Linked DNA regions of Mus musculus: all the other regions are reported to be linked to region 6. The links are microRNA targets in miRTarBase. Many come from high-throughput screens and were not tested one by one. Region 6 holds a microRNA gene; each other region holds the end of a gene's coding sequence.
What was found. Region 6 holds the annotated microRNA mmu-miR-3473c (UCUCUCCAGCCCCCAUAAUAAG, at 2,819-2,840, shown strand). A microRNA usually pairs through its seed, bases 2 to 8, with sites in the 3' UTR of a target mRNA and lowers its output. Matches are read on the target gene's strand: a 7mer-m8 pairs with bases 2 to 8, a 7mer-A1 pairs with bases 2 to 7 and ends in A, and an 8mer does both.

Region 1: the mRNA of Aqp3 is a reported target of mmu-miR-3473c. Seed matches in the 3' UTR shown: 8mer at 3,609-3,616.
Region 2: miRTarBase lists Zbtb9 as a target of mmu-miR-3473c. Seed matches in the 3' UTR shown: 8mer at 2,978-2,985.
Region 3: the mRNA of Tradd is a reported target of mmu-miR-3473c. Seed matches in the 3' UTR shown: 7mer-m8 at 873-879.
Region 4: the mRNA of Slc26a2 is a reported target of mmu-miR-3473c. Seed matches in the 3' UTR shown: 7mer-A1 at 1,574-1,580.
Region 5: miRTarBase lists Atxn7 as a target of mmu-miR-3473c. Seed matches in the 3' UTR shown: 7mer-A1 at 1,962-1,968, 7mer-A1 at 2,561-2,567 and 7mer-A1 at 3,769-3,775.
Region 7: miRTarBase lists Serpinb1c as a target of mmu-miR-3473c. Seed matches in the 3' UTR shown: 7mer-A1 at 1,066-1,072.

What each region holds. Positions count from the first base shown.
Region 1 is chr4:41,089,700-41,093,777 of GRCm38, forward strand. It overlaps Aqp3 (aquaporin 3), which reads right to left. Exons shown (of 6, transcript NM_016689.2): 6 at 3,025-4,003. The coding sequence ends at 3,835. Among named protein-coding and RNA genes, the nearest start is that of Aqp3, 6.4 kb to the right of the region's middle.
Region 2 is chr17:26,974,424-26,978,501 of GRCm38, reverse strand. Zbtb9 (zinc finger and BTB domain containing 9) reads right to left here. Exons shown (of 2, transcript NM_001005916.2): 2 at 2,299-4,078. The coding sequence ends at 3,500. Among named protein-coding and RNA genes, the nearest start is that of Zbtb9, 3.3 kb to the right of the region's middle.
Region 3 is chr8:105,255,735-105,259,734 of GRCm38, reverse strand. It overlaps Tradd (TNFRSF1A-associated via death domain), which reads left to right. Exons shown (of 5, transcript NM_001033161.2): 3 at 1-25; 4 at 106-298; 5 at 440-1,160. The coding sequence ends at 750. Among named protein-coding and RNA genes, the nearest start is that of B3gnt9, 2.6 kb to the right of the region's middle.
Region 4 is chr18:61,194,727-61,198,804 of GRCm38, reverse strand. It overlaps Slc26a2 (solute carrier family 26 (sulfate transporter), member 2), which reads left to right. Exons shown (of 4, transcript NM_007885.2): 4 at 1-1,951. The coding sequence ends at 667. Among named protein-coding and RNA genes, the nearest start is that of Gm52353, 7.0 kb to the left of the region's middle.
Region 5 is chr14:14,102,519-14,106,596 of GRCm38, forward strand. Atxn7 (ataxin 7) reads left to right here. Exons shown (of 12, transcript NM_139227.4): 12 at 789-4,078. The coding sequence ends at 806. Among named protein-coding and RNA genes, the nearest start is that of Psmd6, 16 kb to the right of the region's middle.
Region 6 is chr1:191,997,364-192,001,441 of GRCm38, reverse strand. Mir3473c (microRNA 3473c) reads left to right here and starts at 2,808; the gene lies at 2,808-2,888. Traf5 (TNF receptor-associated factor 5) reads left to right here. Exons shown (of 14, transcript NM_011633.2): 13 at 1,474-1,644; 14 at 3,435-4,078. The coding sequence ends at 4,012.
Region 7 is chr13:32,878,430-32,882,507 of GRCm38, reverse strand. It overlaps Serpinb1c (serine (or cysteine) peptidase inhibitor, clade B, member 1c), which reads left to right. Exons shown (of 7, transcript NM_173051.2): 7 at 283-1,111. The coding sequence ends at 675. Among named protein-coding and RNA genes, the nearest start is that of Gm35899, 15 kb to the right of the region's middle.

The DNA of each region.
Region 1 (4,078 bases), not on the chromosome of region 6:
CATAGCTGTATTTTTGTTACTGTGAAGAATTGTAAGTAAATATCTGACAAGCAAGGTGTGCACAATGTAGCCTCATAGAGGTCACGACCCACAGATTGAGAACTCCTGCTCTAGCGTTTCTATACTGGGTGGAGTTGGCCTTCTTCTTGCCTTCCCACCCCACCCAACTCTACCTCACCCAAGTTTCTCCAAGCTTGTGGATGCCCCACCCAGGTTTTTCAGAAAAAAAAAAAAAAACAAAATCTATAAGAGTTAGCAGCAAGCCAGAGCTCATTACCAGGAATTCAGAAGACATGCCCTGGAGCAGAGATGGTTGGCTGGTGTTACTTGCACTTAGAGGTACAGTCCAAGGGCACAGAGAAATGGACTCAGGGTACATACAGAGATGCCTCTTAAGAGGTAAATGAAGACTTAGGCGGTAACACACAGAGAAAGCCAAAGATGAAGAAAACTAGAGATTCAGACAGCCCAACATTGTGAGAGAAAAACAGGCCCACAAGGAGCCCTGAGAAACACAGGGCTGTGTGCACCCTGTGTGCACAGACACAGGGCCAGGTATCCAAACAGCTCATGTTTCAGGGAGCTGATTTCACTGGTGCAAATCATCGGCTTTAAGAAACATGGCTCCAGCCAGGCAGTGGTAGCACACACCTTTAATCCCAGCACTCTGGAGGCAGCGACAGGCAGATCTATATGAGTTCCAGGACAGTCTTGTCTATAGAGTGAGTTCCAGGAGCTAAATAGAGAAGCCCTGTCTCGAAAAATGAAGCGGGGGGGGGGGGGACGGGACCAGACAGACAGAGAGAAGAAAACTGGCTCTTTAAAATGGTTGTGGTGAGGGCTTGGTACAGACACATAAAAAGCCCTTGGCAAGCCCTGGGACAAAGCAGCCACACCGTGGGACAATTCCCTCCCCCCTCCTCCGGCTTCCCTGAAAATAAATTCTGTGAAATGGAGAAGCTTTCTTATAGGAAGTAAGGAATTTTCCTTCCAGAATTTGGTAATAGTCACGACTTTGCCTATTCCAAGTGGAGGATTAAAGGGGAACTCCTTATCTGGAGGAGTCCCAGAGTGGCTGCCTAGCTCATGTTCCGTCCTCCACCCCACACACTCGTGGCTCCCTCTGTCTTGCCTTTCTTATACCAATTCCTTACTACCCAACCCAAGAGCCTCGTAGGGTCAGGACACAGCGGGGCAAGCCACCACCCCACTTCCTCACTCCCCTTTCAGTAAATCCACACTTGTGGATGGATCTGAGACGAAAGGTGCTCGTTAAATCCAATGGTCTTTACAAAACAGCTCCCCACCTCCACTCCTTCTTTCCTGCCCCATCCTGGTTCTGCAGGTAAAGCCATCATGAGCCCCCATTTATTATTTGTTTCCTGGTCACTGCTTAGCTCACTTACATTCTGAATTACATTTACTGTCGCGCGTGTATGTATATGTATCAGCAGGCCAGAGTGCAAGTGTGGCGTTCAGAGGACAACTTTCTGGAGAATTGGTTCTTTCTTCTAGTCTTTGGGTTCCAGAGATCAGACTTAGCTTGCCAGACTGGACGGCAGGTGCCATTACCCACTGAGGCATCTCGCCAGCCTACGTTAAGCCCTTTCTATGAATCATCTCTGCCTATTTACCATTTTTATTAACCCGAGTGTCACAGATAAAGAAACTAAGGTCCAGAGAAGGCACACAAACACACCTAGTAGCTGTGATGGACACTACCCTATAGTGATGGCATCTCAAGCTTCCTGCTCCCCATTGGCTGAAAAGAAGGATGCTGAGGCAGGGTCTTGGATGGGGGCCAAGGGGGAACTGGTGTGGCTGAATGAAACTGCTTGGTACACTGAAGGAAACTTCACAGGCACCTTCTGCTCTCAAGGTTAACGTTCTTCCCCCTCGGGGTCTGGGAAAGGGACACTCCCTCTGGCTCAGGTCTCTCCAGCATTCCAGAGATGCCTCTTGGAAGTTGGGAATAAGGAAAGGGTGGAGATCCACGAAGGAATTGTCTTGTCCCAGGGACTCCTTTCACAACCCTAGTTCTGTGGCCTGAACTTGCAGGTCACCCTTTCTGGGCATGGGTCTCATCTGTGAAGGGGCTACTGAGCAAGAGCCTTAAGGGCATAATTATGCAGGCCGGGGATCTCCTGGCTCCTACAGGGTTAACGCTGCAGAAAGGTTTCCCTTATATTCCTGGTGAAATTTAAGTCAGATGTATTAAGGAAGCTGGAAATGAGGCGCACTTCCTGGGCTCAGGTGTGCCAGGCTAGTCACATAACCCTTGCCTTACTGGGCACGGACATGTCCCAGAAGGCAACAGGAGAGGTTCTTGATCCAGGCAAGTGGCTTTTAGGTTGGAAGATGAAGAATAGGAGTAACCCATTTCCTAGAAGAGGGATAGGAAAGAGAGAAAGTAGCCAGGAGTGAAGGGAGACCGTTGTGACAGGGTGGGTAAGGACAGCTACAAGAGAACCCGATGCAGATGGACTGTGGAGATGTGGTGAGGACCATGGAAAGAGACCTATCCACAGGAAGATACCCTGAGGAACCTGTGTGGACTGACTCCTTGGAGGGAGGCTGATAAGAGTGCCACAGCCAAGAGTCTGGATGGAGATTTAGCAACTCTAGAGGACAATACAGGTCCCCAGTCTGACTGGCCTCTTTGAGCCATAGGCTTAGCCTCTCCAGTCTCTGGGTGGCTCTGCCTACCAGAGGGGCTCCAAACTTCCTCCTTGTGGAAGGGGATGAGACAGGAGGATTCGGAAGATGCTCCATTGGATGGAATCTGAGACCACTGAATACAAGCTAAGATTAGACTCTGAACTAAACATCTGGAAATTTATGGCCAAATAAAACCAACGCTCGAATGCTATTCCCAGAAAAACAAGACTCTGGTGTGGTGGCACATGCTTTTAATGTCAGCAGGGGGGTATCCATGAGTTCAAGGCCAGCCTGGTATACAGAGTCCCAGGATAGCCAGGACTAGAGACCCTGTTTGAAAACAAAAAACACACACAAAAAGAAGTTCCTGTAGCATGTATACGTTTTATTCTTTTTTATATATAAAAGGCAACAGTACATTGTTGATTGGAGGATTAAAGAAAGGAAACCCCTTTTAAAAAGTGGAGTTTCCCACCCCTATTCCTAGGGCTGTAACATATATGTATGTATATATTTATATATTTAAAAAACAAATTATGAAACTTACGACCTGGACTTCAGCCCCTCCCAATGTCTATCTTATAACAGAAACATATTACACAGCCCCCAGTCAAGGGTCATAGCTCCAGATGTGAGCTACACCCTTCTTATCCCTTCCCCCTCCCCAAGCCTAGAAGTCCATTTCAAAAAAAAAAAAAAAAACAGTAGGCACACGCATACTTAGAAACTCACTTCTGGGTCCACCTCCACATGGAGGAGTCCCTGAAGCATGCACACTCTGGCACATTCCTGACTCACTTTCTCCCTTCCCCTGGGCTCCCTTCCCCTGAGCTGCTACAGTTTGTTTTGAAAACTTGGTCCCTTGCCTTTGCATCATTCAGCTTAGAAAACAGCACACATGTACACATTCATTCTCTCTCTCTCTCTCTCTCTCTCTCTCTCTCTCTCTCTCTCTCCATCTTATTTGCTATCCTACCTTGGCTTAAAGGTGGGTGGGAACCTAATGCCCTAATGGGCAGAGTTCATAGAAATTCTGGAGGGCCCATCCAGCAGGGGTGGACACAGGGAGCGGTTTAGCCCGAGAGAGGCATCACAAAGGGCTTTCGGGGACTGGTCCCCACACAGTCAGTGGACACTCAGGAGAGTGCACAGTGGGGGAGGGGGGCTGCTGCCCACTCAGATCTGCTCCTTGTGTTTCATGTGGGCCAGCTTCACATTCTCTTCCTCGGTGGAGGGTGGGGGCTGCTCCAGGTGGCAACCAATCATGAGCTGGTACACGAAGACACCAGCGATGGAACCCAGGAGTGGGGAGACAATGGGTACCCACCACCAGTGCCGGCCAGTCCTGGAGGGAGAACACCGGAAATCAGAGACAGGTCGGCAGGAAGAGGGGAGGCAAGCTGGGGAGTGGGGACTGTAC
Region 2 (4,078 bases), not on the chromosome of region 6:
CTTGCTAGGCAAGCATCTACCACTAACTCACATCCTCAACCCATGCCTAAAGTGGAAAGTTCTGGTTTCTTTGGCGGCTCAGTTGTGTCATGTGATGTTTTTCTGGAAACTGTCTTATGTGGAAGGGTTTTGCCGAGGACATGTGGTGTTTTTCTGGAAGCTGACTGGGAAAAGGGCATGTGTTTTGCTAGAGCAGATACTTAAGAGGACACATGTCACTCGGGAGGCAGAGGCAGGCGGATTTCTGAGTTTGAGGCCAGCCTGGTCTACAAAGTGAGTTCCAGGACAGGCAGGGCTACACAGAGAAACCCATGTTTGGAAAGGGTAGAAATAACCCAACAGGCCACAGATGACTGTGTGGCATTGGCTCACCTTGCCACTCTTTGCTGGTCTTTATTGGGCTTTGCTGATGCTGGTCTTCACTGACCATGTTGAGGCATTGGTTAGCCTTGCCTTCTTTGCTGACCATTGTTTGTTATGAGTTTGTAGAAACACACCAAAGAACTTCTGGTAATTCTTGCCGCATTCCATGGACTCAGGGTGATTGGCAGAGCCTCATGGTTTCTTCTGGATCAAACTGTCATTGTTGATTCATGAATGGTGTTTGTGAGTGGATCGAGCTCCTGCTGCTGCTGCTGCTCCCTATGAACTGAACTGGCAATATCCTGATAATGAAGAATGGAATTGCCCAAAAGAACGATTGATTTCTTTTGCTTTCGGGTTTTTTTTTTTTTTTTTTTTTTTTTTTGGTTTTCAAGACAGGGTTTCTCTGTGTAGCCCTGGCTGTCCTGGAACTCACTCTGTAGACCAGGCTGGTCTAGAACTCAGAAATCCGCCTGCCTCTGCCTCCCAAGTGCTGGGATTAGAGGTGTGCGCCACCACCGCCTGGCAAGAACTATTTCTAAACAGGCCCACGTCCCTCCTTTGCCCTGTTAACCTTTCCTCTCCCTCTAGTGGTGGTGGGCTAGAAGGGAGGTTAAAGTGTGTAAGAAACCTTATTAAAGTAAGTTTTGAAAAATCTAAGCCTGAGAAACTTATTTTCAGTCCAGTGCCACAAGATCAAGACTCAGCTGGGTTTGTAGCTCACTTGTGAGATTCGTAATTCCAAACGTGAGGTTTTGGATTCAATCTCCAGCACCAAACCAATCAAACCAATCAAACAAAACAAAACAAAAAACCCAAGACACTAGGTGATGATGACCCACACCTTTTAATTCTAGCACTTGGGAGGCAGAGGCAGGTGGAGCTCTGAGCTCAAGGTCAGCCTAGTGTACAGAGTTCCAGGACAGCCAGGGGGATACAGAGAAACCCTGTATTGGAAAACCAAAATAAATAAATAGATTTATTAAAATCTGTTCTGTTTGTGTTTTCTAATGGTGACTGAGCTTGTAGCCCTGGACATGTAATGAAAAATCAAACACACAATCTGTACTTCTTGGATAATCATTAAATCTGTCTGTGTTCTGTGAAACCTATATAAATAAAGAGGCACCTGATTGCTAGTCAGTCAAGAGCTGTGAACCACATGGACCACCCATGCCTGACTCCCTCCCTCCTCTCCCCCACTCCTCTCCTGTGCAGGCTGCCCTGCTGCCCCCAGCAGGTTCTCTCCTTCCACCATGTGGGTTCTGGGGAGCAAACTCAAGATGTCAGGCTTGTCAGTAGGTGCCCGTGGAACCCTCTGTTCAGCCCAAAACCTGGGTTTTTTTCCGTGAGTGCTAGGATCTGAACTCAGGTCTTCATGTTTGAGCACTGAGTACTCTTACTCACTGAGACATTGTTCCAATGAGGGAAAACCAGGGGCTCGCACACTGCTCTGTTCTAAGTATTTATAGAATAAATCAAAGTGCCATCTAACATTATGCATACTGCCAGAAATTAGGAAATAATTTAAGCTAATATTATGTGACCCAAAGCCTTTCAAAAAGTGGACATAAACCTGACATGTCAATATGTGCTTGTAATCCTAGTATTACACAGGCTGAGGAAGGAGGATCCTGAGTTTGTGGCCAGTCTGGGCTATATAGTAAGACGAGATCTCGACAAACCAAGACAGAGAACCAAGCAGTAGCAGCAGGTCAGACTCTGAGACATAAAGTAACTCACCTGAGGGTCCTCAGCAGCAGCAGGGCCTGCCCGAGTCCAGGATAGCACTCTCCATGTCAAGTCTCTGATACCAGCTCACTCTTCTCCCATTGATGTAACTGGCTGGGAAAGGAACACACTCATCTCCTGCAGCTCAGCTCTCCTGCAGCTCAGCTCTGCATCTCCACAGCACTCACTCAAGCCAGTCTACTGTCAGTTTAGATTTCAGGGCAGAGTTTATTAACAACCTTAAATTTCCCTTCACCTCCATTCTACTATCTACCCCTCTACCTCTACCAAGTGTGGGTGAAGAAAGCAGTACGGTCCCATTGTAGCTCCTCTGCAGACTTCACCACGTGTGGTTTCAACCCTGAGTTCCTCTAAGCAGGGCGATCTGCTCAGAGAGCAAATGCCACCCTGAGAGCTTTGTAGGTCACCTGCCATCTCCTGAGTTCGTGGGTCATATCTGTCATTGTGATCATAAGCAAGTTATCAGTGGTAGTGAAAGGCGGACAAGGTGAAGGCTGCTGAGGGAATACACTCTACTATGGACTTTCAGAATAGAATATGAAATGCTCAGTTTGCTAAAGTGCTCAAGTACTATTTTTACCCCTAAAGATAGGGTCTCACCATGTGTAGCCCTGGCTGGCCTTGAACTTAGAAGAGATCCACCTGCCTCTGCCTCCTCTGTGTTGTAATTAAATGTGTGCACCACACTTGTTGCATGTTCAAATACATTTTTCTTAAATGTATGAATGCTCTGTCTGCATGTATGCCTGCATGCCAGAAGAGGGCATCAGATCCATTTTAGATGGTTGTGAGCCACCATGTGGTTGCTGGGAATTGAACTCAGGACTTCTAGAAGAGCAGAGTGCTTTTAATAACTGAGCCATCTCTCCAGCCCCACTCAAGTATTTTTAAAAGGATATTTGGGAAAGGTGTATACTGGTGAGAACCTAAAAAGCATCTGGAAAATGACAGAAAGTACAGAAACAGAATACTGCTAACAGGGAGGGAGAAGCCGCTCAGACCTTAGTCTGGCAATTACTTGAGCTCTGAATCAAATGCATTCCTAGTTGGAGACCAGCTCCCTCTCCCCCCCATGAAGATGAAGTTAAGAGTTACTGGGTGACTATGCCCCAACTCCTCTCTCATTAATCTGAGCTCAGCAGTTCCTTCACTGGCTATCAATACAAAAAGGGCCATTTAGGTTAAGTGACCAGAAGCATGATTTTCTAAAGTCTGTCTAAACCTGGACTACCAGGGTGAGACCCATACCCAAGAGTAAGGGGTTCATGACAATATATATAATCTCTTGGAATGATTATACAATCCAGGACTGAGGTGGTGAAGGTAAGAGTCCAGCAGCAGCAGGGGCTATCTTGTCCTAGAAATCACTAGAGAGCACCAGTAGTCATTTGTAAGTCCAGTGGTAAGTGGGCCAGCCCTGGCCCTTGCATAAGTCCCGGTGGCGAAGGAAGAAGGCCTGGACACGGAATCGACGGCCACAATGGGGACACGCATGCAGAGCTCTCGCATGGGTCTTCATGTGCTCTGTTAGATGATGCTTCAACTTGAAACGTTTATTACAGATGCCACATCCAAAAGGGCGAAGGCTGAACGTCAACATGATGTGTCGGTCTCGTTTCGGCTTTACTGCAAACCGTTTTCCACACAAGCAAGCAAAGCACTTCCCATCTGCAGGGGGTGTCCCTCCTAGCTTCACAGGCCCATGCATAGCCTGCCCTGTTCCTCCAGGTCCTCCATCCCCTGACAGGATTTCATTCCCATGAAGATCCACTGGTTTCCACGATGGATCTCCTGCCCCAGACGATTCCCCTCCTCCTGAGGACAGCAAGTATCTCAGCTCCTCCTTCTCCTCAGAGTCCTCTCCAGATAGTACTTTGGTCTTTTCCTTTGTGCCTCTTGCTATCTCCTCCTTACACTCAACGTTTTCCTGATTCACATATAAGATTTGGGAAGCTTGTACAGG
Region 3 (4,000 bases), not on the chromosome of region 6:
TTTGAATTACATCTTAGCCCAGAAGGTGCTGCCGTCCGTAGTTAGGATGGGATGGGCGGGGATTCGCGGCCCAAAGCCGCACTGACTGTGCACCCCTTCGTGCAGCCCGACCGGCTCAGGGACGAGGAACTCGCGGAGCTGGAGGATGAGCTCTGCAAACTGACGTGTGACTGCACTGGCCAGGGTGGAGCCATACAGGTAGCTTCTGCAGGTTCGAAGTTCCCGGTTTCCTCTCCGACCGAGGAGAAACCACTGCCGGCCGCCTGCCAGACTTTTCTGTTCCACGGGCAGCTCGTAGGTGAGGTTCATCAGCAGAAGCGGGGGGTCACCAGCAGGTCGATCTGAGCAGGGCTGGGCCCAGGTATCCGAAGGCAGGTGCGGAAGGGTGCGGGCTCCAGGGAACCGGTGCTCACTCACCTCTTGCTCACTTCTTCTGCAGTGAACCGGCCACTGACTCTTCAAGACCAGCAGACGTTTGCGCGCTCGGTGGGTCTCAAGTGGCGCAGGGTGGGGCGCTCGCTGCAGCGTAACTGTCGGGCACTGAGAGATCCTGCCCTCGACTCGCTGGCCTACGAGTATGAGCGTGATGGGCTATACGAGCAGGCCTTCCAGCTGCTGCGCCGTTTCATGCAAGCCGAGGGCCGCCGTGCCACACTGCAGCGCCTGGTGGAGGCGCTGGAGGAGAACGAACTCACTAGTCTAGCAGAGGATCTGTTGGGCCAGGCGGAGCCGGATGGCGGCCTGGCCTAAGTCTAGTACTGTGGGGAAGGGCGGCCAACCAGCAGTTCAGTGTTTGAAACCCACGGGTGGCTGTTGGGGTATTTTTTTACCGCTGATGTTGCTACTGCTGACCACTTTCCATCTACTGGACTTGGAGAGCATACGCACGCCCCACCTAGCTGAGCTGCTGGAGTGCAACTAACTGCCCCTCCCCCCGCCCCCCAGGAGCCAGGCAAGCAGCGCAGGGGTAAATCACTGATGATCATACAAAAAGAGGACTTGCTGCAAAGACCCTCTAAGTACCCGGACCTTCTGAAACCTAGCTCAAGGTGCTACAAAAACTGTCGGGAGCAGGATGCACGATTTTCCCCGCCCTTGGCATATACTCATCGTGGGACCGAAGCACCTTGTCTGCAGCGATAATAAAATGTAACTCTTTTACAGACTTGCGGAGATGCTGAGGTCTAGACCTGGTTGGGGTTAGTCACCTTCAGTGGAATAGTGAGCCAGGTAGAGTAGGGAGTGGAGAGACAGGCAGGGTTCGGGTAGGGCCTTGAGGAAGGTGAGAGGAAGGGGTTGCTACCTGTCCTGTTAGTGAAGGATAACCGGGGGTTTGGTGAACCATCATATACATTAGGTTTGGTTTTTGTTTTTGTGTGTGTGTGATCTAAGTATGTGCTTAAAACATCTACCGTGTACCTGAATTAGAAAATTAAAATTTCAGCCAGGTGGTGGTGCACGCCTTTAATCCTATTTAGCACTGGAGGCAGAGTCAGGTGGATCTCTGTTTGTTACAGGCCAGCCTGGTCTACAGAGTGTGCCTTTAATGCTATCTAGCATTGGAGGCAGAGTCAGGTGGATCTGTTTGTTACAGGCCAGCCTAGTCTACAGAGTGTGCTCCAAGACAGCCAAGCTCTCCTCCACCCCCACCCCCCACCCCTTTTCTGTTGAGATCTTCACCCTTGTTTCCACGGAGACTGACACCTATAAGATTCAGACTTTTTACATACCATGCGGTATTCAGGATGTTGAGGCAGGAGGATTGCTTCAATTTGGAAGTCAGCATGAGCTACATATTGAGACACCCCCACCCCCACACAAAAACAAAAGCAAACAGACAATCTGGGTTTCCCCACTTCCCCTGCCCCAGGATTTCCAACTTACATTGTTACTAAATTCAACCTTCAAAGTTTATTTGAGGTGGGGGGCTTGGCCAATGAACTTACTTCTGTATCACACATACTCAGAAACCCTAGTTTTCTGATTGATTTTTGTGGCAGTGCGGATATAACCAAGGCCCTGAGGAAAGGTCTACCACTGAGCTACATCCTGGCTCTTGCTTTTTTGTTTTTTTGAGGCAATCTCACTGTGTAGCTCAGGCTGGCTTTGAACTCATGACTCTCCATCCAGATGCTTCTGACTCCCGAGTGCTGGGACTATAGATGTGTGCACCAAATGTGCTAGAAAGTCATCTACCGACCTGGTGGTGGCGGTGGCGGCACATCTATGATCCCAGCACTTACTTGGCAGGTGGTTCCCTATGAGGCCAGCCTGAGCTAATTAGTGAGTCCCAGGTTAGCCTGGCTAGGGTTCTGCTTCAGGCCCTTGTACCCACATGAACACACACACAATTAAAAAATCTTCAGGGGTTGGAGAGATGTTTCTTTCTTTTTTTTTTTCTTTCTTTTTCTTCTGTCTTTTAAGACAGGGTTTCTCTGTGTAGCTCTGGCTGTCCTGGACCTCACTTTGTAGACCAGGTTGGCCTCAAACTCAGAAATCCGCCTGCCTCTGCCCCCCCCCCGCCCCCCCCCCCCCCGAGTGCTGGGATTAAAGGCACGCACGCCACCACGCCCGGCTTTTTCTTCTGTTTTGTTTTGTTTTTCGAGACAGGGTTTTTCTGTGCAGTCCTGGCTGTCCTGGAACTCACTCTGTAGACCAGACCGGCCTTGAACTCAGAAATCTGCCTGCTTCTGCCTCCCAAGTGCTAGGATTAAGGTGTGCACCACCACCACCTGGCCTTGGGCTCTGTTTCCTAACTTCAAGTTAAACCTTTGTCTTCTTCGTGCTCTTCTGAGACTTCACTTTTTTGTCTTTTACTGCCTTCTACCCGGCACCCAAGCCTAATTTTAAAAAAGGATTTAGAAATGAAAAAAGAACAAGGGATGTGTACATAAAATGCCCCTTTCTGCCACACAGTTGCTGGGTGGAAAGTCCAGAGCAGCATAGAGACCAAGGAGTTCAGATCCTAACTCCCTGCCCCACCTCCTGACCCCATATACCACACCTGCACATCTGTGTGTGCATACGTGCACACCTATCCCCAAAGTTCCTCCTTCCGTGGCTGTTTAGAGACTCCAGAGTTTGACCCTGCCCCTTATTATGAGACAATGTCTTATGTAGCTCAGGTTGGCATCAAGTTCCCTGTGAAACCAGGGATGGCCCTGAACTTCTAACCCTCCTGAGTGCTGGGGTTACAGGCATGTACCACCGTGCCTACTTTATAGAACGCTCGAGCTTAAACTCGGGGCTTCTCACATGCTAGGTCTGCAACCGAGTCACACCCTCAGCCTTCCAGAGTTGGGATTTTATAACAAGGCCAGTGAGACACCTTTGGAGGCCTTTGGGCAGGAAGCCTGGAGAGGAGAGAGGCCAAGACAGAGATAGATAGAGAATGGGATGAATATCAACAGCTGCTTGGGAGGAAGAATGCAACAGGCCAGTGTCCTTGGCTGAGGACTAGGGCAAGCTGATGGCCAGGAGTCATATTTGCCAGTGGGATGAAGGCCTGGGGAGACCCTGATCACTCTATTCACTAAGAATGACTATCCTGGTGACTCTGGAGCTCAGCTGTCTCTATAGTTCCCCAATTGAGGAAACCAATCAAGAATGGAGCTGGAATACTAGTGTAGGCTTGTAATCCCAACACTTTGGGCGTCATTAGCTTGAGGCTATGCAGGGTACATAACACAGCTTATCCTCAGAACCCTAAAAGACTAGTGGGCAGGTAAGAGTGGGTGGTTTGGCCTGGATGACAAAGCAGCTCAGAGGTAGGAAAACCAGGGGATCTAGAAAACAGCCTACCTGGGCTCAATGGGCTCTTCTAGAAGCCTCCCGCAAACACCAATCCCTGACACCCCAAACTGTACTGCAGAGGCAACAGCATGGGCAGTTCTACCTCAAGGATGCTATGTTGGGGAGCAGGAACGGGCATGGAGTGACAGGAATGAAGAGCTTGTCTGGGAAATTACTGTAGGCAGAAGTGGTTCCATTTCCTGTATCC
Region 4 (4,078 bases), not on the chromosome of region 6:
TATGCTGTCCTCCGCTCTGTTAAGCACTGAAATAGGCCTGCTGGTTGGGGTTTGTTTTTCAATGTTCTGTGTGATCCTCCGTACTCAGAAGCCAAAGAATTCACTGCTTGGTTTAGAAGAAGAATCTGAAACCTTTGAATCCATTTCCACTTACAAGAACCTTCGGAGCAAGTCCGGCATCAAGGTTTTCCGCTTCATAGCCCCTCTCTACTACATAAACAAAGAGTGCTTTAAATCAGCTTTGTACAAGAAAGCTCTTAACCCAGTCTTGGTAAAGGCAGCTTGGAAAAAGGCAGCAAAGAGAAAACTCAAAGAAGAAATGGTGACCTTTCGTGGGGACCCGGATGAAGTTTCAATGCAGCTTTCCCATGATCCCTTGGAGGTGCACACTATCGTGATCGACTGTAGTGCCATACAGTTTTTAGACACAGCAGGAATCCACACACTGAAAGAAGTTCGCCGGGATTATGAAGCCGTTGGGATCCAGGTTTTACTGGCGCAGTGCAATCCTTCTGTGAGGGATTCCTTGGCCAGAGGAGAATATTGCAAAAAGGAAGAGGAAACCCTTCTCTTCTACAGTCTGTCTGAAGCAGTAGCCTTTGCAGAAGACTCTCAGAATCAGAAAGGGGTGTGTGTTGTCAACGGTCTGAGTCTCTCTGGTGACTGAGAAAGTTAATCTGCATCTTCCTGGTAACTGGGCAAGTTAATAAAAGGAAGAATAGTGTCTTGCCTGTTTCAATGTGGAACGTTTTCTACTGTGAAAGGAGAAAGCCATGCACACTTGAAATAGTTCTTTGAAGCTAGCCTTTCGATAGTCTCATGAGCTTTTGGTTGGGTAGAATCAAAAAGAAGTAAATGTTATGGCTTCCGGCTTATGCAGATAGCATTCTTGGGGTACAGTATAAATGGAATGGAACTGTAAAGCAGCCCCCAACTTAAGTGCCTTACTTTAGGAACTATATATCTGAACTCTGTCCTTCAGGATGCAGAGCGAGGTAACGCCGGGCTTTGCCTGACACACACTGCAGCTCTAGAGAGGGGACGAAGAAAGGAGGCAGCGCTGCTGGTACAGAGGCTGGAAAAGCACAAGGGCCTACGGACCCTGCTGCTGTGTCTCTGTTAGGATTTTGCTCCCCAAACAGTAAGATCTCTTGCTGATAGTTAGAAATCATCATTTTTCCTTTCCTTCATGCAAGAACCGTGCCATAGTCTCATAAGAGAATCTGACCTCACAACCAGCCTGATACTATTGTATAGAACCCATATTGTAAATATCTAATGTCTTAAGTCTTCCCTTTTTATTTAGAATAAGTGGGTAAAGAAAGAGTTTAAAACCAGAATGGCAGTGGAAGTCTTTGTCTCTCTTCATCTCTGTCTTTGTCTTTGAGAACTTGTCTGCTGTTACGCCCTGTCTCACCTTTGACTTATTCTTGTCCCCCCCCCCCCCCCCCCCCCGGGAATCCTTGCTGAGTTGGCATCTCTGAACACCAGTGGCAGAGTTGTCAGAGAAAGCAGAGTATTGGCTCAGCAGCTTCCTAACAGCACTGTGAATGGGCTTGTGGTGCACATTCAAGGAGAGATCGTAAAAAAAAAAAAAAGAATGAACGACAGTTCCCCTTAAGAAATGCCACCCTCCCACCACTGGGGCATCTTAGGCAGTCTTTCTTTATAGAAGTGGCTGTTTATGGATGAGTACAGAGGTGATGGGGTGCTTCCAAAAGGACATCCATCATTACTTTGCAGATGGGAAAGCAGTGTTGATGCTTATGGCCACGCATCCTGTTGGCATATGATAAATATTGATGCCAGTGACCACTTTTAATGCAGGACTTGGAGCCTTCACAGGGCCCTAGATGTACTGGGGTGTCATTCTCAGGAGCTGGCTGCAGGTTAGGAGTTGAGTAGTTTCTTCAGAAAAGGACTTCAACAGGTAAGAAAAGTTCTCCCAAGTGCGGAATAGAGGACTCACATGAGATTAAAACATTTAGCCAAGTTATTAAAGTAACAGTTTCTGAAGTGTAAAATCATTTTTAGCCTGTTCTTACGTGCAAAACAATTTAAAATATTTATGGGAAGCACTCTGTGTAAGGAACCTAGTGAGGTGGAATGCTTTCAGACATTTTACACGTGCGAACTCCAGGAGCTGCCCCTGTGGTTCTCCTAGTGACAGAGCACGCCTGCTTGCCTGTGTGGGAAATAGCTTTCCATGTTTCCAGTAAAAGCTTCAGGGTAGAAAATGTGCATTTCTGGTGGTTATGTTGATAAAATCCACACTGGACTCTGTCCTAGAGTTCTGCAAATGTTGACTGCTGCTGGCTTGTTCTTTTGTCTCCCTAGCTTTATGAATAATTGAAAAAATCACAGTATCCTAGCCATTTTTGAAAATCCCTCTTGCCCTTTCCTCAGGCATGTTGGAATTAAGCCGGTTAGAGATGTTTAATACTCAGAGACAGACTGGTAGGCAGGTACACGGTCAGTGGGGCAGGAGGGGTGTTCAGGAGTTAAGAGCACTTGCTACTCTTGCGGAGGACCCAAGTTCAGTTCCCAGCACCCACATTAGGCAGCTCACAGCCACCTGCAACTTTAGCTTCAGGCAATCTAACCCTCTTCTAAACTCCATCACACACACACACACACACACACACACACACACACACACACACACACACACACACACCTCTCTTTCTAAAGCACTTGTTTAAGATAACTGTATAATCCATTCAACACCAGAGTAGAAAAAGAATTTTAGCTGAGTGTTTGGAAAGTCTCTGCCCTCTGACTGACTGTAAGGTCACAGTGTGGACCTAACTGGTTCAGGAGCTTTACATACGCGTTAGCTAATCTTCGAGTTCTCTTCTGATTTGTGTTTGTCCCACAGAAGCGAACAGGAGCCTACTTTTCAGTAGCCATTTTAAAATGCGATTGCGCTGGAGTCTGCTGCTGCCTTTCTCTTAGGGTTGATCTCTTCCTAAATCGAACATTAAAACTGATTTTGATTGCTGATATTTGAAGGAATCAAATTTAGAACCAAAGCCTAATTTACCACCAGCATCAAAAAACAAGCCATTTTCATTTCCTTTTTGATGCTTTGAACATATTTATAAAAGTTATCTTGCTCACTTTGAACATTAGAGTGTAAAATATTTCCTGGTTGTTTGCAGAGAAGTAGAACCCTGAATGCTGTTAAATGACTATCGTTTATTTAAAATACAGAGTGTACATGTCTGTGTATTTTATGACAAGGTCTTATATAGCACAGGCTGGCCTCAAATACGCTAAGTAGCCAAGGATGATTGTAAACTGTTGGTCTCCCTGCTTCTGCCTCCAGGTGCTGGAGTTAACAGGTCCTAGGGATGGAGTAAGCTAGTGAGTATACAGACCTGCTATGAAAGGAACACAGTTCAGGGGAGTGAAAGGTTAGATCACCAAGATCTGTACTGTCCAGAAAGGAAGAGACCTGGCTGGATCTAGATCCTGGTAAACCCCACAGTAAGATCAGAGTTCAGGAGCTTGCCTCCAAGAGCAGTGTTAGAAGTAGGTCCTGTTTCTAGATGGGGAGAGTCCCAGGTTCACCACAGCTCCAAAGAGCTCAGAAGCATATGCTCACGTTGTAGCCAAAGTCTGGGTGAGCCTACTCAGGAGTACTGTCCTCCCTGTGAGCCGAGTGGCTGTAGTGCTGTGCTCAGGAGTACTGTCCTCCCTGTGAGCCGAGTGGCTGTAGTGTCTCGGACAGAAGAAGACTGGCAGGTGCCGAGTTCATTCTAAGCAGGGTCAATGGGACAGGTATGATTTATATAAAGTCTTTCAGCACAGTGAGTGGTGAACTTTGAGACTGCCTGAAGTGATAGATGAATTCATCAGACTAATGCTTCTGGCTACATTGTAGCAAAACCAGTGAGCCTCTGCAGGGATGTTTCTGGCAGCTTGACATTTAAGAACATGTTACCAGGATTAACTCCTAAGCTGCAAAGGACAGAAAAGAGTAGGTTTGGGGACTAATGCCTCTTCATTTACGGCGACGGCTCGAGCTCTCCACAACACCCATCCAGCCACCCACACACACCGGTGAGTGTCCTCA
Region 5 (4,078 bases), not on the chromosome of region 6:
ATGTGAACCTTACAAGCTGTTTTTCAACTTTATCTGTCAGTGGGAGGAATCTTACAGCTGCATACAAATCTCAGAACTCATGACTTAAAAGTACTTTAAAGAATGCTATCCCTAAAACGGCATGATGGCACATGTATTAAATCCCAGCATTCTAGAGACAGAAGCAAGCAGGTCTCTCAGGGCTACACAGAGAGACCCTGTCAGAAAACAAAATAAACACTTTTTGTAGAGAAGTAGAAATCACAAGTTTGCTATCTCTTGTGGAGGATACTTGTGCTTGGATTGGCTAGTCTCTGAACAGAGAAGTGAAGTACAGAGCCCACAACATAGCAGTGTGTAGCCCCTCCCTGGCCTGCAAATCCGTTCTTGCTTGGCTTCTAGATTTTAAATTACCCCGTGGGAAGGCCAGAGTTCTCTCCCTATGCTGTAAGCAGTGCCTTGGGTTTAGACCTCCAGACCTGTGTGTTAGCACATCGAGTTTTCTGAATTAACAGCCTAGAATACCTTCAAGGACACAAGTTTAAAAAATGAAAACAAACAAAAAATTCCACCTTAGATTAGAAGGAAACCGGAGGGCTAGACCTCCACACAGCGGCCTCTTGTTGCCCGTTTGTTTTTGGTTTTGTTTTTGTTTTTTGAAAAACAAAGCTTCAGGCTGGTCCTGTAATGGCTTTCCCCGACCCCAGCAGGTCAGGGAGCTTAGGTACGGGATGATACCCTGGTGTAGAGTCGGGAGCACTGCATCCAGCCACTTACTTATGTATCTCCTCATCCCTCTGTTTTGAAAGCCAAAGGCACGACCCTGACAGCTGACAGTACCACTGGAAGGAATAATCCAGACATTTTTGAAGACAAGCTACGCCTCTGCTCAGCACTCTGGACTCCACGATGCCTTTGAGTCTCTTTTTCTAACTCCTGTGGGCCTTCAGGGTAACCTCTGGCTGTTTGACAAGGATTTCCCGAAGCTGTGTCTGTAGCAGTGAGTACAGGTAAAGAACACTGGATCACCTCAGCCACCGGATTGCTCTCAGTGTTAAAGTGGTCTGGACTGCTTGCTCCCAATCCGTGAGAAGTTTGTGTTTGTATTGTGTTTTGTTTTGTTTTTTCATTTGGAGCATATCATGGAGTCACTCTTGAAGTAGATTGGCTGGGGAGGATCATTTCTGTAGCCTTGCCTTCCTTTTTCTTTGCCATCTGTCAGTCAGGCTCCAGAAGGTAGGCACCTTAACTGGAGACTGAAGGCCTCCAAGGAAAGGGGAGTGAGCTGCATCCTGAGAGCCTCCTAGAGGATACCTGGCTTTAGAGTTTTATAGCGCTGTTGAGGAATAGTACACTGAGATGTTTGTTGGTCAGTGCGTCATGACATAGTAGCCCCGCACCTTTTCAGTTAATTTGGGATGAGAAGCTTATCAAGTTCTTCAGACGTGAGGACTGGCTCGAAGCTGCTGACGCCTGGATATTAAGTTTAAAGGATCTCAGAAGCTTAGTTTTTATGGTACAAAAGCATGTGTGATAGAAAGAGAGAAAGAAAAAGGAAGAATGAAGAAAAGAAAAATGGAAAGAGAGACAAGGAAAGCAGTTGGTGATGAAAAGCCAACTGGGACACTGGATTCAGGGAGGTGAGAAAATTTTCAAGTGAGGCAAAATTTGTAGGATTTCCAAAGAGCCTGACTTGTCTCGCTGCTGTGATTGTGTTGATCAGTGTGTCAGATTGGGTCATTGTCTTACTCGGTCTGCTTTTTGAGATTTGCCTTTTTAAAAGTTATTATCATGTCCTTAAAATTTCCAAGGCATTACTCCCACTTCCTCTTTGACTTAGTGTTTGAAGAAGTAAGTGTGAGTCTGTGCTTCCAGGCCTGCTGCCTGCCGTGTGTCTGTCCCGGCTTCCTGCCAGTCCAGTCGCTGGTTGTTTGAATGCAGGTGGGCTGAGGTGGGGATCCCCGAGAAAGGGTGCGTGCCACGGAGAGAAGCAGCTCGCAGAAGGGGGGGTGTTTACTAGTGCTCACCCTTCTCTGTTGTGACAGTGACAGCCATCTGTCTTCCTTTAGTGAGGCTTAACGCCCTCCTTAAGATTTCTCAGTGCCCCACTCCCAAAGAATGTTTAATGTGTTAACACATTGCTTGAAAAGACGTCTGCCAGTGAACTTGGGCATGATTTAGGGCCGGCCACTGTAACACCTCCTGCTCAGAGGACCGAGTCCTCGGGCTTAGGAAGAGTACAGCAGAGTGGCCTACAGGACAGCCCCCAAGGCTCCTAGCCCTGTCCTGGCCAGTGTCTGGGCATAGCCTTTCTCTACAGTTCTTAGATTACAAACTTGAGATTCAGGGAATTTCAGTCAACAGCAGGTAGAATGAATACATACTTGGTTACCAGCCTAATAATGTGAATTGCTACATTTACTCTTATTATGTAAGAACACAAAGACTTTATGCAGATACTTTAACTGTAAATTAATGGAAATGTTGAATTTTTTAAGGAAGGGAAAACAAAATCTTATTCACTTATTATGCAGTCAGTCAGTGAATGTTTGTTTTAAAGATGATACTAGAGCAGCTCTGAGGAGAGAGCCCAGATGGGCCAGTGTGGAAGTTAGGAGGCTCATCTGGTTGTCTCTCCTAGTGCTGGGCAAGGAGGAGAGGGAATCCAAGCTCACACAGTCATTACTCGATGACAAGTGCAATGGGGTATGGGGAAGATTTATTTTCAGAGCCGGGACTTGATGGTTATAAACAAAGTTGCTTTTAATGATGGAATTTATAGACAGATGTTCCAAAAGATGTGAATAGGAGCCACAATAGGAAGTTTATTCAGAATAAAGTAGATACTTAGGTTAATGAGTGTTATAATTTGATTCCTTAGACTGGGACTTTAATTGAACTTCATTATATCTCCAGGAAACACACAGAGCCTCCGGATTAGGAAAAGCCATTTTTTGGATTTTGCCTGCCACAAACAGACATATTCTAAACAGTGCTACTAAAGTTTAGACTGTTCAAATATTTTATTTTCTCTGACAACTACTTTTTATGATGATGAACAATTAAGACCATTTAAAATATGGGAGTACAAATATTTTTTTGAATTTAATCTTAACTTGCAAAAAACAAATTTGCAGTGCTTGGGTTATTTCTAGACAGACTTCGTTCGGTGTCAATTTAAAACCACCATAATTTTTTATATTCTTTCCAATAGAATTCATAACAGCTTCTGCAGTTTTCTTAAACTACAAAAAATAAAATAAAAAATAAAAAATAAAATAAAAGTGCTGCAATGATGAACAAAGAATTATAAAAAAACCTACTTTTGTATCTTTATTTTGGAATTTCTTGTTCTATTATAAATATGGAAGTATCCCTATTTCAGAAGACATATTTTGTTAAAAATGAATTGTACATATTTAAATAAGTATTTTTGCACAGGTCTTTTTTTCTGATATCCTGTTTTGGTACAATTGAGATCATCTAGTATTTATTTATTAATTAATAAAAATAAATACCTTTTTATAATTTGAAGTGGTTCACTGCCAAGCCAGTAGTTTAGAACCTGCCTCCTTTACAGTTAAGGGATGCCTCTGTTGTGTGGGAGTCGCTGTCCCTTTTAGTGTCTTGGGAGTGGTTTTATACAGATGAAGCGGGCACGGCGTCTCTGCTGCCTGATTTCCAAATAGACTACATGGAGCTAAGTGACACACTGCTTTTCCTTGTTTAGTGAGTGTGTGAGTGTGTGTGTGTGTGTGTGTGTGTGTGTGTGTGTGTGTATGAGAGAGAGGAGAGAGAGAAGGGGGCAGTGAGTGTTCCCACTTGCCCGCTTGCTCTCTGAGCACACCCGTGTTATTAGTATATGATGTGGTTTAAAACTAATGAGGAAACAAACAAAACACACTGAAAGTGCCTGAACCTAGTTTAAGCTCAGACAGACATCTTTAAAGACTTGAATGCTGAGTTGAACTTTTGGAGTTTGCTTTTTCCACCTAAATATTATTTCTTAAAGTTTTAGGGAAGAAGTTAAAAGCCACCAAGACTGGTGATTTTTATAAGGTATTTTAAAATTGAGACCTTTTGGTTCACAGTAATTTAA
Region 6 (4,078 bases):
GCTACAGTGTACTTATATATAATAAATAAATAAAATCTTTTTAAAAAAAGAAGAAGAATAAGAAGAGAAGGGCTGGAGAGATAGCTCAGCAGTTAAGAGCACTCGCTGCTCCTGCAGCGGACCTAGGTTCAATTCCCAGCACATACATGGTAGGGAGTTCACAACCATCCATAACTCCAGTTCCAGGGATCCAATACCCAACTTTGACCTTTGCGGACACCAAGCACATATGAAGTTCACAGACATACATGCAGGCAAAACATTCACATCAAATAAGATGAATGAGCCTAACTATAAATCTTTTAAAGAAAAGAAAGAACATCCGGGTGAGATATGGCTTTTTCCATTCAAAGCTATGATCAGCTTTTAGTGAGCAGCAAGGGGTTTTCTTCTTAGCTTTTAACATGAAAACCATTTCAAATGCATAGAAAAGCCACCAGACGTGGGTGATGCCAGGGGCACCAGTGCAGCTCTCCCACATCCCATTCAGCACTTCGTCCCATTTGCTCTGTTTCTGGCACCCTTGTCTCTTCTGGGTGTGGCCAAGGACCACCAGAGAGAATACCGCATGTGTGTGGCCCTCTGCAGCTGACAGTAACACTGTCTCGTACATGAGTATATCTATACCCATGCTGGTAAATGCAACGTTTATACCATACTTCCATGGTATGTGTGTAAAATCATTAATTCCCTTTGGGAAGGGCATGCCTTAAACATCACTCGATGAATCCTGAATGTTAACTAACCACAAATGGACCCCTAACAAATAAAAGTTCTCTCATGACCAGATTTGTAGTGATTTAAAGACATATAACATGGGCAATGTGTTTGAAATGTGTATTGTTCCAGGAAATCTAGGCCATAGAAGCTTTATTCTTCTTCACCACAGCATATACATATATACATACATGTATGCACCTGTTCTACATGTGCTGGGCACGTATGTGCAGATGTGTGTGCACATATGTATATGTATGTGTTAGTATGTCTAGGAAAAAAAAAGGAACCTATCACACTATTAGTTCTGACATTTTCCTAAACAGAGAGCAATAGGGTGGAATTAAGACTATATGGGCAAGGCAGACAGATTAATATCCTCCATGTGAAAGATCCATAGAGTGTGTAGGCTCTGCCTGCTCCTGCCCAATCTTGACCTCCTTACAGAAAGGAAACTTTCTTCTGAGGGAAGCAAGGCTAAGGCAAGAGGGCCACAAAGTGCATGTGAATACATGGAGGGGAGACTTTAGACACATCGGGGAAAGCTCAGAAATTCACCAGAGGAGTCCAGCCTGGAAAGGAAGAAGAAGATGGCAGCTGCTGACTCTGCCATGTCCACTGAACCCCCTCTCTGGACACTGCCACTTCCATTTCATGAGTGGATCATTCTATGTGAAATGTTTGTGTTAAAATTCAGTCAACACGCTACAAATCCGATGTCTCGTTTCCAAGACATATTCTCTTTTTTGTACCGCAAGGCTCTCACCAGTCACACGGACAAGTCAGCTTGGCTGGAAGCGCAGGTGCGGCAGCTGCTACAAATAGTTAACCAGCAGCCAAGTCGACTTGATCTGAGGTCTTTGGTGGATGCGGTTGACAGCGTGAAACAGAGGATCACCCAGCTGGAAGCCAGTGACCAGAGATTAGGTACGTGTGTGTGTGTGTGTGTGTGTGTGTGTGTGTGTGTGTGTATGAAGCAGTCGGGTTCCCTCTCATGGCTTCCCTGTCTGTGTGCATTTGTGGTAGAAGCTAACAAGTCACAACCAGCTTTCTGGGTTGCCCAGTGGCTGAATCCTGTTTGTGAAGCAGCATGAGATTCTAGCTGCCTCAGAAAATGAGGGTCTCCACCATGTGTGTGGAGTCAGACGAGACTGAAATGGCCCAGGCAGTCCCAAGAGCTGGGAGTGGTAATCATTAAGAACAAGGGAGAGAGGTGATGGGTGTCTTAGGCTTTGGTGCACTGGGGCCAGTGAGATTGCTTAGCAGGTGATTTGCTATGCAATCGAGATGACCAGTGTATCAGTGGCTTCTCTGTTGCTGTGACAAAGCACCATGACCAAGGTAACTTGTAGGAGGAAGTGTTATTTGGGCTTATGATTGCAGAGAAATAAGAATTTACCACCATCTCATAGAGAAACAGCAGGCAGGCAGGCATGGCACTGGAGCAGCTGCTGAAACCCCAAGCCCAGTGACACACCTCCTCCAACAAGACCACACCTCCTCCAACTAGACCACACTTCCTCCAACAAGACCACACCTCCTCCAACAAGACCACACCTCCTCCAGCAAGACCACACCTCCTCCAACAAGACCACACCTCCAACAAGACCACACCTCCTCCAATAAGACCACACCTCCTAATCCTCCCCAAACAACCCACCAACTGGGGACCAAGTATTCCAATGCTTAGGACTTAGGACACACAACTCATTGAAACTATAACACCCAGAGTTTGATCTCTGGAACCCACACAGTGGAGAGAAAGAACCAACTATTGAAAGTTGTTCTATGACCTTCACATGTATACTATGGTGTACATGCCTTCACTTACACACACACACACACACACACACACACGCACGCACGCACGCACGCACGCACGCACGCACCACCAACAGTAACAACAATAACAATAATAATAAGACTTTATAAAGATATTTATTTATTTGTTTTATGTATGTGAGTACACTGTTGCTCTCTTCAGACACACCAGAAGAGGGAATCAGATCTGATTACAGATGGTTGTGAGCCACCATGTGGTTCCTGGGATTTGAACTCAGGGCCTCTAGAAGAGCAGTCAGTGCTCTTAACTGCTGAGCCATCTCTCCAGCCCCCATAATAAGTCTTTTAAATGTAAAATTCATTATAGGAGTTGGGGAGATGGCTCAGTAGATAACACACTTGCTGCACACATGACCTAGAATTTGGATCCTTGTAGCCATGTGATTGCTGAGTGGACTGGAGGGCTACCTGTGGTCCTAGCACTCTGGAGGCTGACACAGGATCTCCAGGACAAGCTAGCCAGAATATCAGGGTTTAATTCAGTGAGAGAACTACATCAAAAGACTGAAATACTACTGGGGAAGACACTCAGTATCAACCTCTGGCCTCTGTATGCCACAAGCACCTCACAGCCAAACACATGCAAGTATGCACAGACACTTACATCACAAGCACACTCGTGTGCATGCATGCACACACACACAAACACACACAGTTAGACGGGCACAAGGCTCAGCATGAGAATTCACTCGAGGTGAATGTCCAATGTGTCTTATACTCAGGCAAGCTGAGAGTGAAGAGGGAGGATACATCCATGTCTGCTTGGCGTCAGCTTACCACGATTGAGTTAATGTTAGCAATGCATGTAGTAGTTCACAGGTAGTGCTCAGATGACAGGCCCGAGCTGCAGCCTCCTGTCCTGTGTTTCCTTCCAGTTCTTTTAGAGGGGGAGACCAGCAAGCACGACGCACACATTAATATCCACAAAGCACAGCTGAATAAGAACGAAGAGCGGTTTAAGCAGCTGGAGGGCGCCTGCTACAGTGGCAAGCTCATCTGGAAGGTGACAGATTACAGGGTGAAGAAGAGGGAGGCCGTGGAGGGGCACACAGTGTCCGTCTTCAGCCAGCCTTTCTACACCAGCCGCTGCGGCTACCGGCTCTGTGCCAGGGCGTACCTGAACGGGGACGGGTCGGGGAAGGGAACGCACCTGTCCCTGTACTTTGTGGTGATGCGCGGTGAGTTTGACTCGCTGCTGCAGTGGCCGTTCAGGCAGAGGGTGACCCTGATGCTTTTGGACCAGAGCGGCAAGAAGAACCATATTGTGGAGACCTTCAAAGCTGACCCCAACAGCAGCAGCTTCAAAAGGCCAGATGGCGAGATGAACATTGCCTCTGGCTGTCCCCGCTTTGTGTCGCACTCTACTCTGGAGAACTCCAAGAACACCTACATTAAAGACGACACACTGTTCTTGAAAGTGGCCGTGGATTTAACTGACTTGGAGGATCTGTAGTGTTACCTGATAAGGAAACTTCTCAGCACAGGAAAAGGTGTGGCTGTCCCTTGGGCGCAGCCCTCT
Region 7 (4,078 bases), not on the chromosome of region 6:
GTGGATGGATGGGTGAATGGATATATGTACTGATAAACAGATATGTGGATAAATAGATGATAGATGTATTGTTTTTAAAAAATGTACTTGAACCCTCAAAGACATGGAAAATAATGGTGCTATATTCCATCAGCGGACATATAAAATTAAATCTATGTGGAACCTGTTTGAGTAGAACACATGAATAAAACCTTTGAGATGTGGCAATTATGAGTCAGTTCATTGGAATAGTACCTCATTACAGTAATAAATTAACTGCTTTCTGCCTTACATTAATTCCAGATTGAGAAACAATTAACTTTGGAAAAACTGCAAGAATGTGAGAACTTACAAAACATTGATGTCTGTGTCAAATTGCCCAAATTCAAGATGGAAGAGAGCTACATCCTCAACTCTAACCTGGGCCAACTGGGAGTGCAGGATCTCTTTAGCAGCAGCAAAGCTGATCTCTCTGGCATGTCGGGATCCAGAGATCTTTTCATATCAAAAATTGTTCACAAGTCCTATGTGGAAGTGAATGAGGAGGGAACAGAGACAGATGCTGCCATGCCAGGCACTGTTGTTGGATGCTGCCTGATGCCCATGGAATTCACGGTGGACCATCCATTCCTTTTCTTCATTCGGCACAATCCCACGGCTCATGTGCTCTTCCTTGGCAGGGTTTGTTCCCCATAGAAGAAGGAGACTTTAGAGATACAAGGCAGAGCTTAGAGTTTCATTACCTGAGATTTTAATAGTGATTATTTTCACTTGCCCTTGACCATAAAACCTCTATCAGAATCAAACTTGACTTTATTTTGTAAGAAAGAGCACAACTCCATTGGCTTTTTATATCCATGTCTTTTGGCATGGGTGTGTCTATTTTGTTTTTACACTGAAAAAAAAATGCTGTTGTCACTGTCAACAATGTCATGTTTAAAGTCCAAAGGACAAAATAGATATAGTTTTCTGACCATAAGGTAACCTGTACAATTGACCTACAGTACTGACAGGCATGAAAATATGTAGCTTTTCCTAAATCAGTTTTTTCTCAGTCTAAAACTAGAGTAAGACAAGAAGAAAGAAGGAGAGAGAGAGAGAGAGAGAGAGAGAGAGAGAGAGAGAGAGAAAGAAAGAAAGAAAGAAAGAAAGAAAGAAAGAAAGAAAGAAAGAAAGAAAGAGGGGGAGGGGAGGGAGGGACGGAGGAAGGGGGGAAGGAAGGAAGGAAGGAAGGAAGGAAGGAAGGAAGGAAGGGGAAGAAAGAAAACCAAAAGTAATAAAGCACTAATAAAATTAATGGATCCAAAGTAACAATTACTGTCTATGTTCTTTTGTGATTTGTGAAATGAAACAATGCTATTTCTTTTACAGAGTTTTGGAAGCCACAATAGAAGGCATCTCTGGCTGTTGAAACCAGGGTTAAAAGCAGATATGCCATAGGAACAAATACAACTGAAGGATCTCCTTCTTGTGAAGACATACCTTCTCCATGATTCTGCCCTGTACAGTTAGTGTTCTCATTAATCAGCTACTCTGGATTTCTTGATAAAGCCTCTTGACCCCCATTACTCAGGTAGCTATGGTGATAAGATGGCTTTGTGCAATGTGAAGGAATTTGGGATGGGGACTCTTGGGTTGATATGACCCTTTGTCCGATGCACTCCTTTGGATGGGTCTTGAGATTCTACTCTTCAAAATTCCTCAAGATTGGTAGATTGTAACAAACCTAAGATTTTTTAGAATTTGTAAGGCAGATGATGTCCATCCTCTTTCTCCCTGGTCTCAGGCAAGTTAAGGCTACATTCACTAAGATAACTGGCCTGACAATACAGATGTGGTGAAGACTCAACTGGTTGAAGCAAAGACCTTTCACAGAATACCAGGAAACTTTTTTCCCTTTTGCCCTATTCCCAGACTGAATACCAGTGCTTACTGTATCCAGGTTATCCTAGCTGTAGTACAAAAGCAGCAGGCATGGTCTCTGCAGCCCCTCCTTCGTGTTACTTCATTTAGTTTGAAAATGGAATGTTCCCCAGAGGCCCATGTCTTAATAGTTTTGCCCCAATATAGTGTTACTGGGAAATGGTGAGTCTTTTAAGAGGTGTGGAGGTAGGGAGGGACTCAAGAAAAGCCATCATTATGAGATGTGTTCCTGGAGGGGATGTATGGCCCAGTCCCTTCTTTCTTCTGTTCTGTCTCCACATGAGCTATTTGGGTTTACTTTCTGCTCCTTGCCATTGCCATCCCTCCCAGCCCAAGTCATCACCGACAGGAGTCTGAGATTGAGACCAAGTCCTTCTTTGCTCTTCATAGGCTGGTTACTATCTAAGGTGCTTGTCATGGCAATGACAAGGTAACTCACACATTCCTCCAGCAAAACCCACTGTTTTCATCCTACATGGTGTTCATCATCCAGAAACTGAATTCCAAGTGTCTAAGCAACTCTGCTCAACTCCATTTTGTCTGAGAGGAAACTAGAAGTAAGTTGTTAAAGGTCAAACATATTTTTAAGTCACAGATCATAGACTAGATTTTAATTCAGCTATTATGTAAACATATGTAAATATGTATATATCCCTATGAATATATATAATATATATAATATATATATAGCAAGTATTTATATATGTGTGTGTATATAGCATGTGTGTGTGTGTATGTGTGTGTGTGTGTGTGTGTGTGTGTGTGTGTGAAACCAACCCCTAGGACAACTATAACATCAAGAAAGCAAGCAGTCAGTAATGAGATGCTATAAGATAGGAGGAATTACTGCAAGATTCAAGAGAAACTGCAAATTCAGGGGCAAATCCATCCACTGTTCTCAGCAGCATTTGCCAGTCCAGAGGAGGTAATGAGAACGGAGATTGTATCACTCTTAAGGCAAAGGGAAACAATTTGTCCTTCCAAGTGTAGGACTCCCATTTTCCTCCTCTGCTTTTGCATGAGCCCCAGAGTATGCATCAAAAGCTCACAGCTGTTCTGCAGTCTTTGGACAAACCCAGTTTCCAACCCTAGATTTAGATCTGCTTTCTGTGGGTGCCTGCAGATACAAACTAAATTCATGTCTGTCCAGGGTAGGGGAGGTAACCTGAAGCCTCAGACCATTATTACAATCTGCTTTTCAAGTATAACATCCAGAGAATAATCAAAGATAACTGTTTGGGTGAGCTGGCATGGCAACAGAGACACAAAGCAGCACAAACAAAAAAGAATGACAATGATGGAAGACTCTAAATGTTGATGCCACCCATACAAACCAGAGATCAACAGTTTGTGAAGATAGCATTGATTAAGGTCAGATACTTTAGCAGGCAGATGGAAACTTACAAACTACACTACATGTCTGGATGAAAAGAGACTAGAAATCCCAGAGCTTAAACATATAATAAATTATTTACATAGAAAAACTTAGATAACAAGAAAAAGAATTTGTGGATTTTAAAGTCTGATGAAGAAATCATTATAATGATTAAGTAATTAACTGCTTTTAGTTTCTTCTAGAAAGTCCAATGTAGTCATTAAAACTCAAAAGTAAATGTGGAAGGTACGGAAGGAATAAAGAGTTAGGATGAAGCCAGGTAGTGTTATTCTCAGCAGTCAGGAGGTAGAAGCAGAGACAACCTCTATGATTAAAGCTAGCCTGGTCTACTAAGTGAATTCCAGGACTGCCAGGCCTACACAGAGAAACCCTATTTCAAAACACACACACACACACACACACACACACACACACACACACTCACTCACACTCACACACACACACACTCACACACACACACTCACACTCACACACACACTCACATACACACTCACACTCACTCACACACTCACACTCACACACACACAGATGATGAAGATGCATAAGGTAGGGGTACAGAGTAGAATAACATATGAAGAGCAAACATTTGGGCCAGGAACATGGCTCAGTCAGTGAATTGCCTCTCCTGTGGTCACGGGGATCTGAGTTTGGATCACTAGCACCCATGTAAAAGCCCTGTGTGGAGGGGTGCATGTATAACTTCAGCATTGTGTTGAGGGGGGACAGAGACAAGTGTATCCGTGGAGACAACTGGCCAGCTAGCCTTGCCAATCACTAGCT